Drosophila melanogaster: one gene and its partner. The protein of the gene in region 1 interacts with the protein of each later gene in a biochemical or structural test. Each region holds a gene or a part of one and is shown on either strand. Other genes may lie near its edges.

The links. The genes of interacting proteins can lie anywhere in the genome.
Region 2: the proteins of sc (region 1) and emc form a complex in vitro, tested with the Drosophila melanogaster proteins (one study listed by BioGRID).

Annotation. Positions count from the first base shown.
Region 1 is NC_004354.4:391,561-399,321, reverse strand, and holds sc (scute), read right to left. Parts: upstream 3,263-7,761; 5' UTR 3,146-3,262; coding exon 2,108-3,145; 3' UTR 1,825-2,107; downstream 1-1,824. UniProt on the Drosophila melanogaster protein: AS-C proteins are involved in the determination of the neuronal precursors in the peripheral nervous system and the central nervous system. Also involved in sex determination and dosage compensation.
Region 2 is NT_037436.4:745,168-752,928, reverse strand, and holds the start of emc (extra macrochaetae), read right to left. Parts: upstream 3,530-7,761; 5' UTR 3,266-3,529; coding exon 2,702-3,265; intron 658-2,701; coding exon 622-657; 3' UTR 1-621. UniProt on the Drosophila melanogaster protein: Participates in sensory organ patterning by antagonizing the neurogenic activity of the Achaete-scute complex (AS-C). It lacks a basic DNA-binding domain but is able to form heterodimers with other HLH proteins, thereby inhibiting DNA binding.

The DNA.
Region 1 (7,761 bases):
TTTATCAATAATTCATAACGCTAATCAATAACGCCCCAGTTCAAATTCGTTGCATGCGCGAGATGAAAGGCCAAAAATGCCGACATAACAGGATAATGAACTCCAAAAACGTTGGGGCTTATTGAAATTCAAATAAATCGGTAACGCTGAACGACGTTGCAAAGTTGTGCTGTTTTGATTGCCTTGTTCTGCTCTGTTTGATACTCTTACTTTTTGGATAATGTAAGCCAATCGCCAATGCTAAATGAAGGACTTAAGTATCAATTTGATTGTACAAAATAATTGAGTTTTAATAAAAATAAAACTTATGCATTAGACCACATATAGCATTTGCATTGATTAGATTAATGCTTCAGATAAGTTACAGGATATTAACCGAATAAACCTATGTTTGAAAAGAGTATAAGAGTATATTCTATATTCCAAAATCCATCTTTGTATTTTTTATTTTGGAGTTTTCTTGTTTGCCATTCTTCGTTTTTTCTGTTGGCTATCAGGCCGTTTGCATCGCGCCTGCGGTGTAAGAATAAATGCTTCAAGTAACAACTTCGTAAAGAGCTGAATTATGAGCTTAGCTGCGACTTAAAACTGCTTTTTTAGCCATCAATCTGCCGTCCTTAGTCCTCGAAACTTTGGGCGAGCCTATAATTTGGTCAAATATCTGGGGTCTGATTAATGCAGGCGGCTGGTTTTTTGTACCACAATGTTGCTGGCCTGGGCGCCGAGAAATCTATTAAACTACGCTTTTAAATCAGAACCAAATAAAATAAAAAACGCAGCTGAAAAAAAGGTTGCCTTTCTTTAGATTCTTTAGGAAAGGTGAAAGTTCTTCCGGAGCTGAACGTTAAGCCTTGCCTACAGAGTCTCGCAAAAGAAAATAATGGTATTCCAGAACCCATTTTCATGATTCGAAACAATTGCATTGAGTTGTCAAGTGTCAGCGTTGACATTGAAAGAAAAGATCCCCTATCCCTTATCACTTCCTTTGGAGCATCCAGCGATCCTAAGGACAATGAGGTCCTTTGTCTGTGATGCCCTTTAATGTGTCAAAATATAGTCTATAGTCGCATTCTCCCATGCGTTTGTTTTTCTAATGCAACGTGATTTATTGTCTGGCCAGTGGAAGAGGTTTATTCCAACGGACTGACATCTCAACGGTGCGTGGGAGTGAAGAACTTAGTTATTGTTTGGGGTAAGGTGTTTGCATTTAACTTTTTCAGAAGTGTAAAAAGTGGGTAAAATACTTTTTTGTAAGGCCGTACATTATAGGGAATACTAGGAACTATAGTTAAGCTGAGCAAATTCAAAAGAAAAAGTCTTAAAAGTGTTGATCGGGTTAAAACTACCTCACTTTATATATTTAAGTAGTAATGTATACATAAATACGAACTCCTCTTATATTGAATAAATTGTAAATTGCTTTTTCGACACTTTTCCTTTTTTAAGTTCAATATCTGATCTGAATTTCAAAGTCGTAATTGTAAAACTAGTAACCTTTTAAACTAGTAACCTCGTGGCACGTGTCACAGGTGTCATCGTCTTACCTGCGATAATTTGACATTCTTAGAAACTACCTGAAGAAATAGGAAACTACTGGTCTAAAACCAAATACTGATCTATGTTTTGCGTTATCTGTAATTCGTATTAATGATTTTTGGATATAAGAGTGATTTTGTAAAACCAATGCAAAGCAACCTTAATTGTACATAACGGCTGCACATGGTCCCATCGGCACTGCAAGGCAATGCAAGTAGTACCCGAATGTTTTACAAACCTGATCAATAGATGGATCCCCTTTGAGAAAAGAACTTAAATATGATTTTTCGTTTAATTTTTTCATTTTATTTTTCCACCAAAAACTAATTAACATAAAATTGTATTAGCAAAAAAATATGTTTTCGTTTCCATGCTATAGTTATTTCATAAATATATAAATTTGAAACTGGTCTCGTGGTTCTTAACAATGTAAAAAAATAGCTTAAAGTAAGAAAAAAAAATTGGGGGTATGTTGTTTTTGTATTAGTGTTATTTACAATTTGAGGCACTTGGTTCAACTCAACATTGACTAGAAGAAAATAGGGCGTGGTGGTAAATTTTGGGGATTAAGTCACTGCTCCTGCCATAGAGAGATGTAGTCCAAAATCTCCTCGTCGTCGGGGGTGCAGTCCTCCTCGTCTAATTGAAAATGTTCGTACGGTTCAAATTTTAGCTGAAGTTGGGAGTGCGTGTGTAATTCGTTGTCCAGATGATCCAGACGATCCAGGTGGGTGGATATTTGTTGGGGAACTCCTTCGTAGGTGCCTGAATCAAAGGACATGCTGGAGTTGAATGATGATGTTGGCGAGTGGCAGGTTTGCTGGTTTTTGCTGGTGGATACGCATCCTGCATCTCCACCTGGTACGGATGTGCCCACCAAGTTGGTATTTAATGAGAGCGCTGTCAGCGGTTGGTGATTGAACTGCTGCCTCTGTAGCTGCTGCTGTTGTTGCAGAGGACTGACAGAGATCGTGTTTTGATAGTAGGTATTATGCCCTGAGGAACTGCAAGTACTGCTGCTCGAACTGTGACTGCTGGACTCATCCAAACAAAGTTGAAGCTGGGTGACTGCATTGTTGGCACCAATATTGCTGCCCCCATTTAGGTCATCCACCAGATCCTGAAGCCTCCGGATGTACTCGACGGCAATGCGCAGTGTGTCTACTTTGGAGATCTTTTTGTGAGGTCCTCGACCACCACCCTTTGTCAAATCCGTGATTATGGATTGTGGTATATGTTGCCGCAACCTGGCGAAGCTGTTGTTCACCTGCTTTACACGATTTCGTTCTCTAGCATTGCGCCTTTGGACCGACTGGGATTGGTCTACATTATATGGAGCCGGCGAGGAACCAGGCGATAGAGATGATACTGATTCAGAGCATCTGGTCAGTGCCATACCCCTTGGTGTATACTTGCGAGTCTTAATTGGCATTGTGCCAGCGGGTTGATTTTGATTGCCACCGGGAATTAATGGACTAGGGGCTGGCATTATGTGCTGATAACGAAAGATCTTCGTTGCCGAATTGATGGTCGTTGGAAACGTTTCGTTGGTGGACAGCACACTCGATGACATGGTAGTGCTTTTCGTTGTATTATTATTATTTTTCATTAACACACTCGGAGCTTTCTTTAACTTTCCGGATAACGATCAACAGAAAAAAATAAATGAACAGAGTACAATACTTGAACTTGATCGTTTGACACCTTACACAAGAATGAGTCCCTTCGTCCTAAACCCTCGCGTTATGTACCCTTTATGCAACTCTCTGCACAACACTCAGGCAGAGAAACGGGCGAGAGAATCGGAGAGAAAGAGAGAGAGAGAGTGACGGCAAGAGCTACCTGCACAGGTAGGGAACTCGAAGTGAGTGAGCCACAGGTAGTCTCTCTCTCTTTCTCTGTCTCAGGTACTCGAGTATCCCACAGGAAAACTGTTCTCACTCGACAGTCCAAAAGAAACACTCAAATTTTAAACTCAAAATATCAACTCGAAATATCGAAAAACGATCAAGGTATCTGAGTGAGGGCTCTTTTTGCTACGGCACGCCAGCAATTTGATTTCTGTGTTAATTAACTTAGCAAAAGTCGCGATCGCCAATTTTATGTGCAGCTCACGCACGCTTCTATTCATTAGCGCCGGACGGATCCAAGGGATCGACAGAAGATCCTGGGATCCTCCTTATTAGACATTCGGAGTACGCTCCCTAAAGGTGTTCAAACAATTTCACTTATTTCTCCAATTAAATTATCAAAAGGATCACAATTTTTTGTTAAGTAAATCAAAGGGATGTGACACAAGTTCTAGAAGGAAGTTTGCAGTGAAAACTGCGGTTCTTTGTTTGTGGCTACTTGTGTTTTTTCTAGAACTACTGGGATGTTGCTTTAAATATATTAATTTGTTTGGGAATAATTTAGTTCTGGGTTTGATTAAATGTTCACACATTTGACTTTTAACGGTGTATACTTGTTATTTGTTCTATTACATAATGCGGTCTAAGGTAAAGAAATACTAGACATACATGAAGTTTCATACATCTTCTTTGAAATAATAAATTGATTATTTCAGACTGTTGTAACTTGCCATTGGCCACTGTGTCGTGCTAAACGGCGACTGTAAATTGTAACTTCCGCTCTGTTCACAAAAATCGGTTCATTTTGTCACGATCATCAATCGATGAGCGAGTGAAAAGATGCCAAATCGGCGACCAGGTGTAATATTTTTATTGTCCTCAACTCGTTACCCTCGTTTGCTTCTGCCAGCATTTTTCTTTTGCCAAATCATCAGCAATAGCACTTCTTCACTTCTATTTGGCAAATTTTAGATCCCCGGATCCCAAAATCAAAAACCGAATCCGAAACCAAAACCAAAGCGAAAACCGAAATCCTGATAACAAAAAAACCTTTTCAACCATGACCAGCAAACGGCGCTTCTCTGTGTTGTTCCTATAAATAAAATCCTTTCACCATTTCCAATACCTTTTTTGCATGCTGAACTTCGCTTGGAGTCTCCACTCTTTAGTTTTTGCATTGTAACGGAGGGATCGGTAGTTGGTTTCCATTATTTTACCATCATTAACACTATCATTGTTCTTGAGTGTTGCAGAAATTTTGGCAGCACAATGTTCTATTTAAATTTTCGCATTTTCCAAAATTCCATTGAAGCATTTTAATAAATGGTTGGGAGAAATGCCGGTGACATGCCTAGAATAGGGTTGAAGTCGTCATTAGAAACTCCACTCAGTGAACTGTGTGATCTATGGTGTATGCGGACATTTAACTGAAGTGGAATGCATATAATGCATATACGCGATCCTTTTTTCCTTGAAGCGGAGAGTCATAAGCAAGGTTGGTATAATCGCGTGTTCGGTACAATTGATTAATCATAGGTCCAATTCCGGTCACCGCTTGCATGTAAATGCCACTCATACCTTGAACAAGCATTGGATATTACCTTCAAAATTATAGTACCTAGTGTAGGAATCTTTTAATTTTGAATGATTTAAATTTTATATTTCATAAATGCTTCATTTCCTTTAGTATATAATATTGTTAATTTAACTCTATCTTTGTGGAAGTCTTTTATATATTTTCGGAAACTTAATAATGTTTTTTTTATTATTTCGAAAGACTTGTTCTTCAGGAAAACCATCAGAAAGCAAGTTAAGTAACCTTTCGATGTTGTCCCGACAACCAGTAAACATTTTTTTCGGACTACCTTGTTTATATCCTTTTTCCAGACGCAACGCTTGGAGGATTTAAATGCGTAATTACTTTGATATGAAGCATAGTTCCGGACCGCGAAAACGGGAAATGGAAAGGACTCAAAAGTGTAAGCGAGATGAAGAGCGGGGCCCTTGCGATAATTGGGTAGGAGCAGGATGGAACGAGGCAGGATATATAACCTACCCATTATATGGGTATATATGGGTATATATATATATATATATATATATCCTAATCGGTGGAGCGACGCGTGCGTTTTTCCAACGAAACTTGAAATGCAAAAATGAATGTTGAATCTTAATTTAAACGAGTTTTCGTAGCCAGGACCTGCAGAAGAGAGCAGGAGATCGGCGAAAAAAGAAAAAGTGAAAAAGAGTGAGGGATACAAGTATATGTATACTTGCATATAGATATTTCTGTTGTCGCGTTCATTTCTACACGTAAAAATATTATTTAATAGGTTGTATATAAAATTATTATAAGTGCATTACAAGAGTATATAGTGAAATTTCTGTTATTTAAATATTTATATTTTAAGTAAATGTTTTTGACCATTTTTATTATCAAAAGTTTTAATATAAATCTAAGTGACGCTCGTGGTTTAATTTTTGCGTTTTACTGTTGATGAAGCGTAGATGTATCTCTCCCTCTTTATTTAGCTCAGTCATTTTCGTAGTTAATAATTTAATTAAATGCAGGAGCATGCGCAGGAGTCGCACCCTCCTTGCCCTTAAGACTCGTTGGATATCTGGACCATGGCGACGCGTGGCAGGTGTATTTAGTCGAACGAATTGGATCGCGGAGGAAAGAACTCTGAAAAGTATAGAAGAACAAACGTAGCAGGGCATACGGGCTTAGACAACCAACTTTATACATCGATTTCCACCATTCTTTTTCTGGTGCAGCTGAAAAATAACCGTGCGCAGCACAGGGCACAAATAAAATGAACACACGCTCATTTGTTAGGGGTTGCTTTTTTCTGCACCGACTGGCATTTTCGGTGCCTTAACGCCACAAAATAGGGGAGCCGAAGTTAAAGTCACTACCAAAGATACAGAAGACCGATATGGGTAAAGATGCTAAGATACAGATACCGCGGCAACGGCGCATTGAACTTTGCTCAACCCAAAGGTTCAGCTCCAGTTCGTCATGCAAACAAAGATGTTGGGATCGTGGGCCATTTTGATTTGGCTTCCCTGCTTGGACCAACAATTGGGGTATGAAAAGTTTGACTTGGCTAAAACGTTTGTATAGAGAAGCCTAGTTTTTCAGCTGTTACCTTATAATAAGGAAATTGCTTTACCGAACCTTTTTTAAATTTTACTTTCAAATATGAGAGCAATAATTAACTATATCATCCTTCAAAATAGTATTTATGAAGAGTGTGGTTTTTATTTTATTTTTTATATTAACCATTATTATTGGATTGAATTTTGTTCATGTGTCCAATAAATACATATTTCACTTTGCCACGTTTCTCAGTCTCGTCTTTTTGCGGTCTCAAACTGGATGATCATGAACCCTGGAATAATGATAATCATGATCACAACACGATCCGGAGGGAATAAGAGGGCGCTGAACAAAAAGGCAGTAGCACGCACCATTAGATGCGGTCAACATAAAAACATCTGCTCTTCGGTGGACTCCGTTTCAGGTCAAATAATATATATATGTATAAAACACACATACAGAGAGAATGTAACCATTAAGTGGTAGAGTAAAGGAATATACTAAACGTTGAGTACAGATCGCTGGAACTATAAAAGCTAGAAGGTATACAATAAGCTTTTTTTTTTTTTTTGCCAATTTCTTTAGATTTTAGTTTTACCACCTAAGCAACGGGTATCCGATAGCCAAGGAACTCGACTATAGCGACATCTTCTATGGTTCCATGGTCTGGTTTCACATCCCAGATCAAGATCCCCACAACATATCCCAATGTAAATTGTGCCAATTGGTCGGCATATTTATGGCCTACACAGTTGGGCCTCAGTTAACTTTAATCAATTTTTTGTGCTACGCTTTCACGAACTGCGGGGCCGTACATCGCAGCTTAATCCGAGACTAGTGCATATAACGTTTAATTTAAAAACGCATAAAATTTTGTAACAATGTCGCAGATGATCTGCACCATTTACTTTATTGCCGTTCGGCAACCCTGACCATGTTTGGCTTCCTGAACTTTTTCCGAAACAGTTTAAACTTTACGGGGAATCCAACGGGGACTCATGGATTTTGATATATCATATATTATTATATTTATGTAATAAAGAAAATCTACGATAACCAGAATTGAGTCCTTAAAATATATTAAATTTAAAAAATTTTATTTTATATCAGTTCAACATAACTATATGTATCAATAGGTAATTTATAATAATATTATAATGTTCATCTTATTTGCGAACAATATTCAAATAAAGCAAATGGAATGTGATGAACAAAATATTTCGTGAATTAAATTCAGAACAATGCACAAGTAGTGCGTAGGTATCATCAATC
Region 2 (7,761 bases), on another chromosome or scaffold:
TAGGAAAATCATTTGGATTGAAATCATATAATCGTAATGCAGGAAACGGTGATTCAACGTAATTCCAGTTTGGTGCCTGTGCATTTTTATAATTTTTTTTTATTGCTGATCTCTGTTTGCTTTGCATTAGTAACATTTTTTCTTGCGTTGTTTAAACCAAAACAAAACTAAAATTAGGAAAACAAAAATATATGCTTCAGTGTAATTTCAAGCGTTAAAGGAAAATTAAATTGTTTAAAGCTTTGCCAAGTTTTCTTTCTTCCGTTCATTCTTAAGCGCCATCATCCTAGTTGTAATGTTTAATTAATAATCATAATGTGTACTTGCTTACGCTGCTCTAATGCTAGGTTTTGTGTTGTTGTATTCTTGTTATTAAATGTTTAAACTAAACTCTGTTGGAGCCAAAAGCGAGGTCTCGTTTTCCCGGGTTTTCCGTTTCCCGGGAAAAGGAGCGTTGAAGAGATGCGCCTGGGCTGTGGTTTTCTTGAGAGTTTCACACGTTATCTTATGCGGAGATCTTCACACGAAGGTTGCGAGTGGAGTTTTGACTGTACTTTCATTATGCATTTAGTTAATAGGCTTATAGGTTCCGTGGGTTTTCCCGGCTGGGCGTTTCCACGCTTACGACTGTCTGCTGTCTTTCTCCGCATTCTGTGGCTAAAAAGAGAGAAGCGGGAAGATTCAAATTAGTACATTATTAATGTGCGATTGAAATGCAATAATTAGTTTATAAGCTGTATTATTTCGCCATTCTATGTTATCAATTAGTTCCCTGTTCCACTGATTTGTTTGTTTTGTTTGTGTTTGGGACACTCGCCGAGAGGCTGATTTCGATGAGTGGAGGGGATGGGGCAATAAAGAGGCGCCAAGAAAATCAAACGCGCTGTCATTGAGCTTTTGTTTTGCACTTATTTGAGTTCTTTGGCACTGGGAAAAATGTTTTGCACTAAGAACATGTGCATTAGAAGATACAACATGTTTTAAAATAACATCTCAGGTAGCTTGCTTGCACAAGTATACCCAGTTGAAAATCAGCAAAACGTTGAAATCACGCAGTTTTTCCCCCAGTGTCTTGCGCTCTCTTCTCCTCCGTCTTCTGCTCTCTTACTGCGAGGGGGCGGTTGTGGAGGGGGGGGGGCAGGATCCGTGGGGGGAACACAATGTAGAAAGCGACCGACTGGCGACTGGCGCACAGCTGCGCGAAAAAAAAATCGAAAAAGAAACAGCAAAAACAACTGAAAACAACCCACAGAGAGAACATTTTGAACACGTGCATTTCTTTTTACAGTTTTCTGAGTGCCCCCATGTGTTCTTCTGTGTGTGTGTGTGTGCGTGTTTTCGAAAGAATTCTCGGATTGTTGTTGGCTTGTTGTTGTTGTTGCGGCGGTGACACATCATACAAACACAAAAAGTATATATGTTTGTGGGTTGCAGATGTTTTGCAACAAAAACACAAAAATTACGCACCCAAAATGAGAGAAAAGAGACCTACGCAAAGCGGACTGAGCTAAAGACCCACAGTTAATTAATCAAAAATTTAAGAAGTAACTCATAGCCAGGAATGACGAAGGCACGATTTCAAAACCATCTTTCTGAATTTCGAAGAAGGGTTTCCACCTTCACAATTAATCAACAATCAGAGATCGAAAATTAATAACACTTGCCGGGCCACCCAGTCGATCATTTGTTTGAGAAACCCATTGAAAAAAAAGCTTTTTCGAACCTGTTTTTACGAACATATTGTAGATCTCAAACGAATTTTTTCGCCAGCATCATTAATAACCGAAAGTCCAAAAACGAAGAAGTAACGAAGCTGAGAGCTAATGAAGTGAGCCAAAAAATAAACCCAAATGAAATAAAATACGAAGACTGATGATTCCCCAATTCCAAATTCCGTTTTCAAGCTCGCAAGTGCGTGTGAGTGAGTGAGTATGTGTGTGTGCGAGTGTGTGTGAAATAAATTTAAGTATCTGCAGGTGTTCATTTAAAACATCACAACAACAGAAAAAGGCCGCGAGAAAAAATTAACAGCTACGTATAGGCAACACACAAAAGAAAGAAACGATGGCGACAACAACCGCAACGCATACAATCGCACAGAGACGGTCTGTGAAATGTCTATAAAAACGAAATGAATCTGTGCGGCGAAGAAGAGGGTACGACAAAATCGGGCAGGCCGCGTTGTCTAAAGCCACCCGCCCAATAAAGAAATTTCCCAAAACTCGCCAACGAAACGAAACGCGCCTCGTCCTTCCGTTAAAAAAAAATAAAACAAAATGAAAAAAAACAACATTCACGCAAACATTCGTCAATCGCCTTATGAATGAGGTCACTCGCGAAACAAAAACAAGTAAAGCCAAACAGTTTGACACTCAATTGTCTCCTAAATTTGCAATGCAAATGCCAAACAGCTGCGGTCAAAATAATGGCACTCAAGGAAATAGCGAAAATCGGTGGATCGCAAACTTTGCGATATTCGCACTTCCTTATCGTAACTTTAGCAATTAATCGCTTTATTGTCTAGTTGAAACCAGTGAAGTCATGTACTTTAAATGTTTAACTATGTTATTTTCTCAAAAATAACTACTTTAAATATTCCATAACCTTATTATTTCTCCTAATATTTCGACCTGAGCTGTGCTCATCTGCCCACTTCCTATTTGGGTTTTTCACTACCCTAGCAATTTGTTTGTTAACTCACCGTTGCTAAACTGTTGGACAGTTGCTGCTGTGATTGCAGTTGTTGCTGCTGCAGTTGCAGTTGCTGCTGCTGCTGATGCTGCTGCGGATGGGCGGGCGCCACAAGAGTGTTGGGCGTTTGGCGATCGGTAAGCGGGAGACGGGCGGCGGGACTAGAGACTTTCGCCGGCTGCTCGGCATTCAGGCGCTGGGCGAGGATATCTGGATCGACTTCCGCTTCTGCCTCGGCATCCGCATCCTCCATGTCGCTGTCCTCGTCCTCGTGGAGTCCGTTCACCGCCGTCAGAGCGGCTGCCGCATCGAAGTTGCCCATCTCGGGGTGCGTCTCCAGCTCGGTCTGCAGGTCGCAGATGTAGTCGATGACGTGCTGGATGATCTCCAGCTTGGTGAGCTTCCTGTTCTTGGGCATGAACGGAACGAGGTCCTTCAGTTTGGACAGATACATCTTCATCTCGGCGTTCTCCCCGTCGCCGCGGTGCGTGGGATGGCGCTGGATGCGCCCGCTGGCATTCAAGGCCGGCATTCCGGAGGCACCTGTCTGGCAGACGGCCGTCAGGGACTTCATTCTGGAGATGATTGCTTTACGCTCCTTGAGTAGAATCTTGGCGGTTGTTACACGGTCGTACCGGATTACTTGCGAGGTTCAGTTAAAGATTGCTCTTGACTGGCTTTTCAATTTGATTTGATTTCGGCTTTGTGCGCTCACTTCACTTTGTTTTCTCACTCTGTCGATGTTCGAAACGAAACACTTTAATCCAGCGTGTTTTCTGCGTTTACGTTCTCGATTTCTATATCTTTTGCTGCGAGCGGTCAGACAACGAATGAGTGGTGCTCGCTCAGAGCGCCCGCTTTTATACCCCCCGAACGGGCATTTCCGAATCCGATAGGCGGAGTCTTCGCTCTCGGGTTCGTTCGGCTGGAGAGAGATATGTACTTGGTTGGAGAGTGGAGACTGGGGAATGTGTCTCATTGGTGTCCATGTGGAACTTGGACCACAACTTGAAACCGGAATTTAGGAGAGTTCCTAAGAGGTGAGTTGCGGAGAGGTCTGCTTTGGTGGACAAGAATGTGGAATTAAGGGGTAGCCCTTCGTGTTTGGTCTTCACAGTCATCATTTCAAATCCACAATGAGAATGGAGTACGAATTTAAGCCTGAGATCTTAAGAGGGGAAGATGTGTAGTGTGAAGCCCATGAATTCTGAGAAAACTAATTTAAAATAATTCAAAATACAACTGAGGTATATATGCTATGAATTAATCCTTTCGGATACTTTCAGTTCTTGACAAAATATCCAACAAGTTCTACAGCCTGTGTGCCCGAACATCCACCTCATTGACTTCTACCCGAGATACCAAATGAAACTCAACCTTACCACAATATCCAATCCACAAGATACAATCCAAATTCCACACATAGTAGACACTTTTTAAAGCACTAACATTTCCCCTGACTCCACCACGGTCCACAGATACTCACCTTTGTAGACCCGGCTTAACGAGTTCCTCTCCGAAACTCTCCAAACAAATCTGAATACTCTCCACGAGATGCAAAATGATCGGTTTTTTGTAAAGGGGAAATGGTTTTGTGATTGGTCGGCTGCTTTTCTCAGCTGAAAATGAGAAAACACGAACAGTAACTCTCGCTCAATAATTTTCCTCTCACGACTGCAATGTTTGTTTTTCTTTTTTTTTTCTCATGTTTTGTGAATGAGCATGAAAATGAATGAAAAGTGTTTTGTGGGATAAGGAGGTTCCACAATCAACACGAAAAGGCGAAAAAGACAATGCGAGTGGTTCAACAAGGGCTTGATTAATTACAGAATGAATATTAAATATATGCATGGGTAAATTAGATTTTAATCGCTGTGGAATGGTGAAAATTTTAAATCATTTGAAAATAAGAAGAGTAAATATTCATAATATATTATATTGGGCTAGTTAGTAGTAGTTTTCATTAACAATAACTATTCAAATAAACTGATAGCTCGAACAATCCTGTTAAGTTTTCGTATATAGACAAACGATTAAACGGTAGTCGTTCAATTTGTCATATTTATTCCTAACAAAGATAAGCGTTATGCGCCTCCGTTCAATGGAAAACTAGTCGTTATCAGTGGATTGACCAAATTCTTATTAACGAGTTTTCAAACGGCTAAATCGAAATGCACGGCTTATCTGCATCTTATCTTAATTTGAGTCCACGACATCTTGAACACACATAAGAGTTCGAGGCGCCTCGACTTCTCTCCCACTCCATTGCACCGAAGAAGTTGCAGGGTTTCTGGGCAAGAAATCCACGATTGTATTTCACACACATGATGGGTCGACGACGATCCATTGAGGAAATTGTGGAAATTTTCATTGAAAATGAGCGGGCGCGTCGTTGTTTGTGAAAAACGACACGTCTCTCTCTGGTTATCGTCTGCGTTAGAAATGGTTTTGAATTGGTTCGCTATGGCTGAATGGGAGACATGACTGGGCTCGAAAAGCTTGTGTTTATTGCTCTTCGGCTTTCGTGCCTTTAATTACTACGGTCTATTTGCAAGTTTCCGTGGAAACGCAGTTCAGGAATGTCCCGAGATCATACATACATATGTTCCTGGAAATCGGGGAACAAGGTGTTGCATGAAATACAGCAGAAATCCATGTTCCATGTCGAAAAACTAGACTCGAAATAACTAAAAAATGCTGGCAAAAACCAGCGACACAGTTCAAATTTCCCAGGGGAACGGAAGGCTAAAAAATACCGATCATAATTTTATGACTGCTGCAACAACGACGTCTCGAGATGATTTCACGTCTTCTTCGCCAGATTTCAGGAGACTGGAACTGAAACGGAGCTTACTTTACGACTCGCGAGTGTTTCGCCTGAATGACAAATCAGCAGCGCCGCCGAAGAACCAACAACAGGTTAAAAGCAGCAGAAACCTGGAAAAAAATGTAGAAAATCTATAAATACGCAATTTAAATACCCTACATCTGATGGTAAATTGTAGTTCGTTTGCATTGCAGTTGGTTTACCTATATCTAAGATGCACTTCCTGAGAATCTTCGATTTAATTCAATATATACCACAAGTATAAACTTAATATTCAAAGTGTATTTAAATCTGAAGGCAAGAGGGCCGCTATTTGCAAGCCATAGAAACTTGTGGAGGATGCGATGAAGATGAGGATCACATGTCAATCAGCGGGCGGGCACTTGCGGTGCCTTTTTTTTTTTGTATTTCATATATATATAATATATTGGGATAGGAAATCGGGGATAAGGGGATAAGGGGATCCCGACGTATCCCAGAGATGGCGTTGCAGATATGCAGCCGCATGCCGCGCCGCGTGCATTGCATGTTGAAATCCAATACCCGTCACTCAGTCCCGCTCCTCGAGCCCCAATCTCCAATGCGATCCCATCCGATCCGATCCGATCCCCATTGAAATCCCAGTCCCAGCCGAACTGATTCCATTCCAATCTCAGCTGGGCTGAGGACATCTAGTTGCCATTAAAGGGGTGCTCTGCCCTGTCACTCTCCAGTGACATCCCATTAATGACTTCGCCTTGGAATTCGGAACCGATTTCGTTTCGCTGCACCGATAAAAATTTCTACACTTCCCGTGGCAATTGCGAAATATAATGGTATCTTGTGGTGCCCATGTGATAAGTGCTGTAATACAAAATGTTATAACTACTATAAAGTTCATTCACAAATTTAAGGCTCTCCACTTCACCATTTCGGTTAAAACTAAATCTTGAGCAGAAACTTGGGTAAACATCCACTTCTTTCAGTGTCGTTTATTTATAAACATATTTTGCATATGGCCAGCGATGATGATTGGCAATTGGTGATCCAAGATCAGAGATCCCACTTGCAGTCGAGGCTTCTTGGCTTGGACTTTTTTTGCTTTAGCCGCATCCGGCCTGTGTCCATGTTTTTTTTCAGGTTTGTTTAACTTGTTGTTGTCCGTATGGTAACTGAATACTAATTTCGTAGCAAAAAAAGTTCCATTGAGGCGTCGATGATCGCTGAGCTTTTGTTTACTTACTCGCTCCAGTCGCCCCCTTTCCCTTTTCTCCGGGCGAAACAATAAACTCAATTGCGTGGGAATGGGAACTGAAACAGAAATGCCTTTTTTTTTGTTTACGCATGGGTATAACTGCCGAGCTCAGCTGGATTTCAGACTCGCAATGGGCCGATTGATTTGCGTTAGGGGTATGCAGATCATGGGACCAATAACTATAAGTCAAGCATTCTAGTGAAGCAGAAAAATATACATAAAAATATTCATCAAAGGAGCGCTAAGTAATAGTTGCGATGGAAGCCACATAGAAGTCGACTCATTGAGGATAAAACAAACTAAAACATGGCTTCAAGAGGAAAACCAAACTTAAACCCCAATCGAACTGCTGAGTAGCTGCACTGAAATAAATTCCTAATTTATATCGAAGCAATTCTTACAGTTTCAAAAAGAAATATATATGGAGCTCATAAGTTTTTATATCACATAGAAGTATTTTTGTTGAATTTTGTAAATTTGGATTGGGCATAATTTCATAAATTTTTTTTGTGTGTTTTTGCCAAAAGTGAAACAGCAGTGAAAACGGCGGCAGAAGGCAAATGAACTGCTGTCAAAATAACCCCAGCCCCGTAGTTAGGGTAAAAAGGACACTCGGCGACAAAAGGCGCACAAAGGACATATCGATGGAAGCCAAAGTGGTAATGCGAATGGGAATCGTGCAGCCGGCGTTTCGATAGTGTGCGGGACAGGGACGGGGAATTGAGCGAGAGAGAGAAAGGGATAGTGTTTCAACCAGGTGAACTGATCAGATGCGATTAGGGATTATTATGCTATTACGCAGGATACGATTAACAATGCCCCTCGGCCGGCAGGACAACAGCAACTGCGCCGCACGCCGCCACATATGCTGCAACATATTCCGTTCCCTTGAATCCGGAAAATATTGTATATATCCCCGTACATGGTTAGGCAAATGTGCGCTGTATTTTTTGCTACCCTAATTGACTGGAAAAACGGCAGTTGGAGGGCAGTTGAGCAAATGCATCGC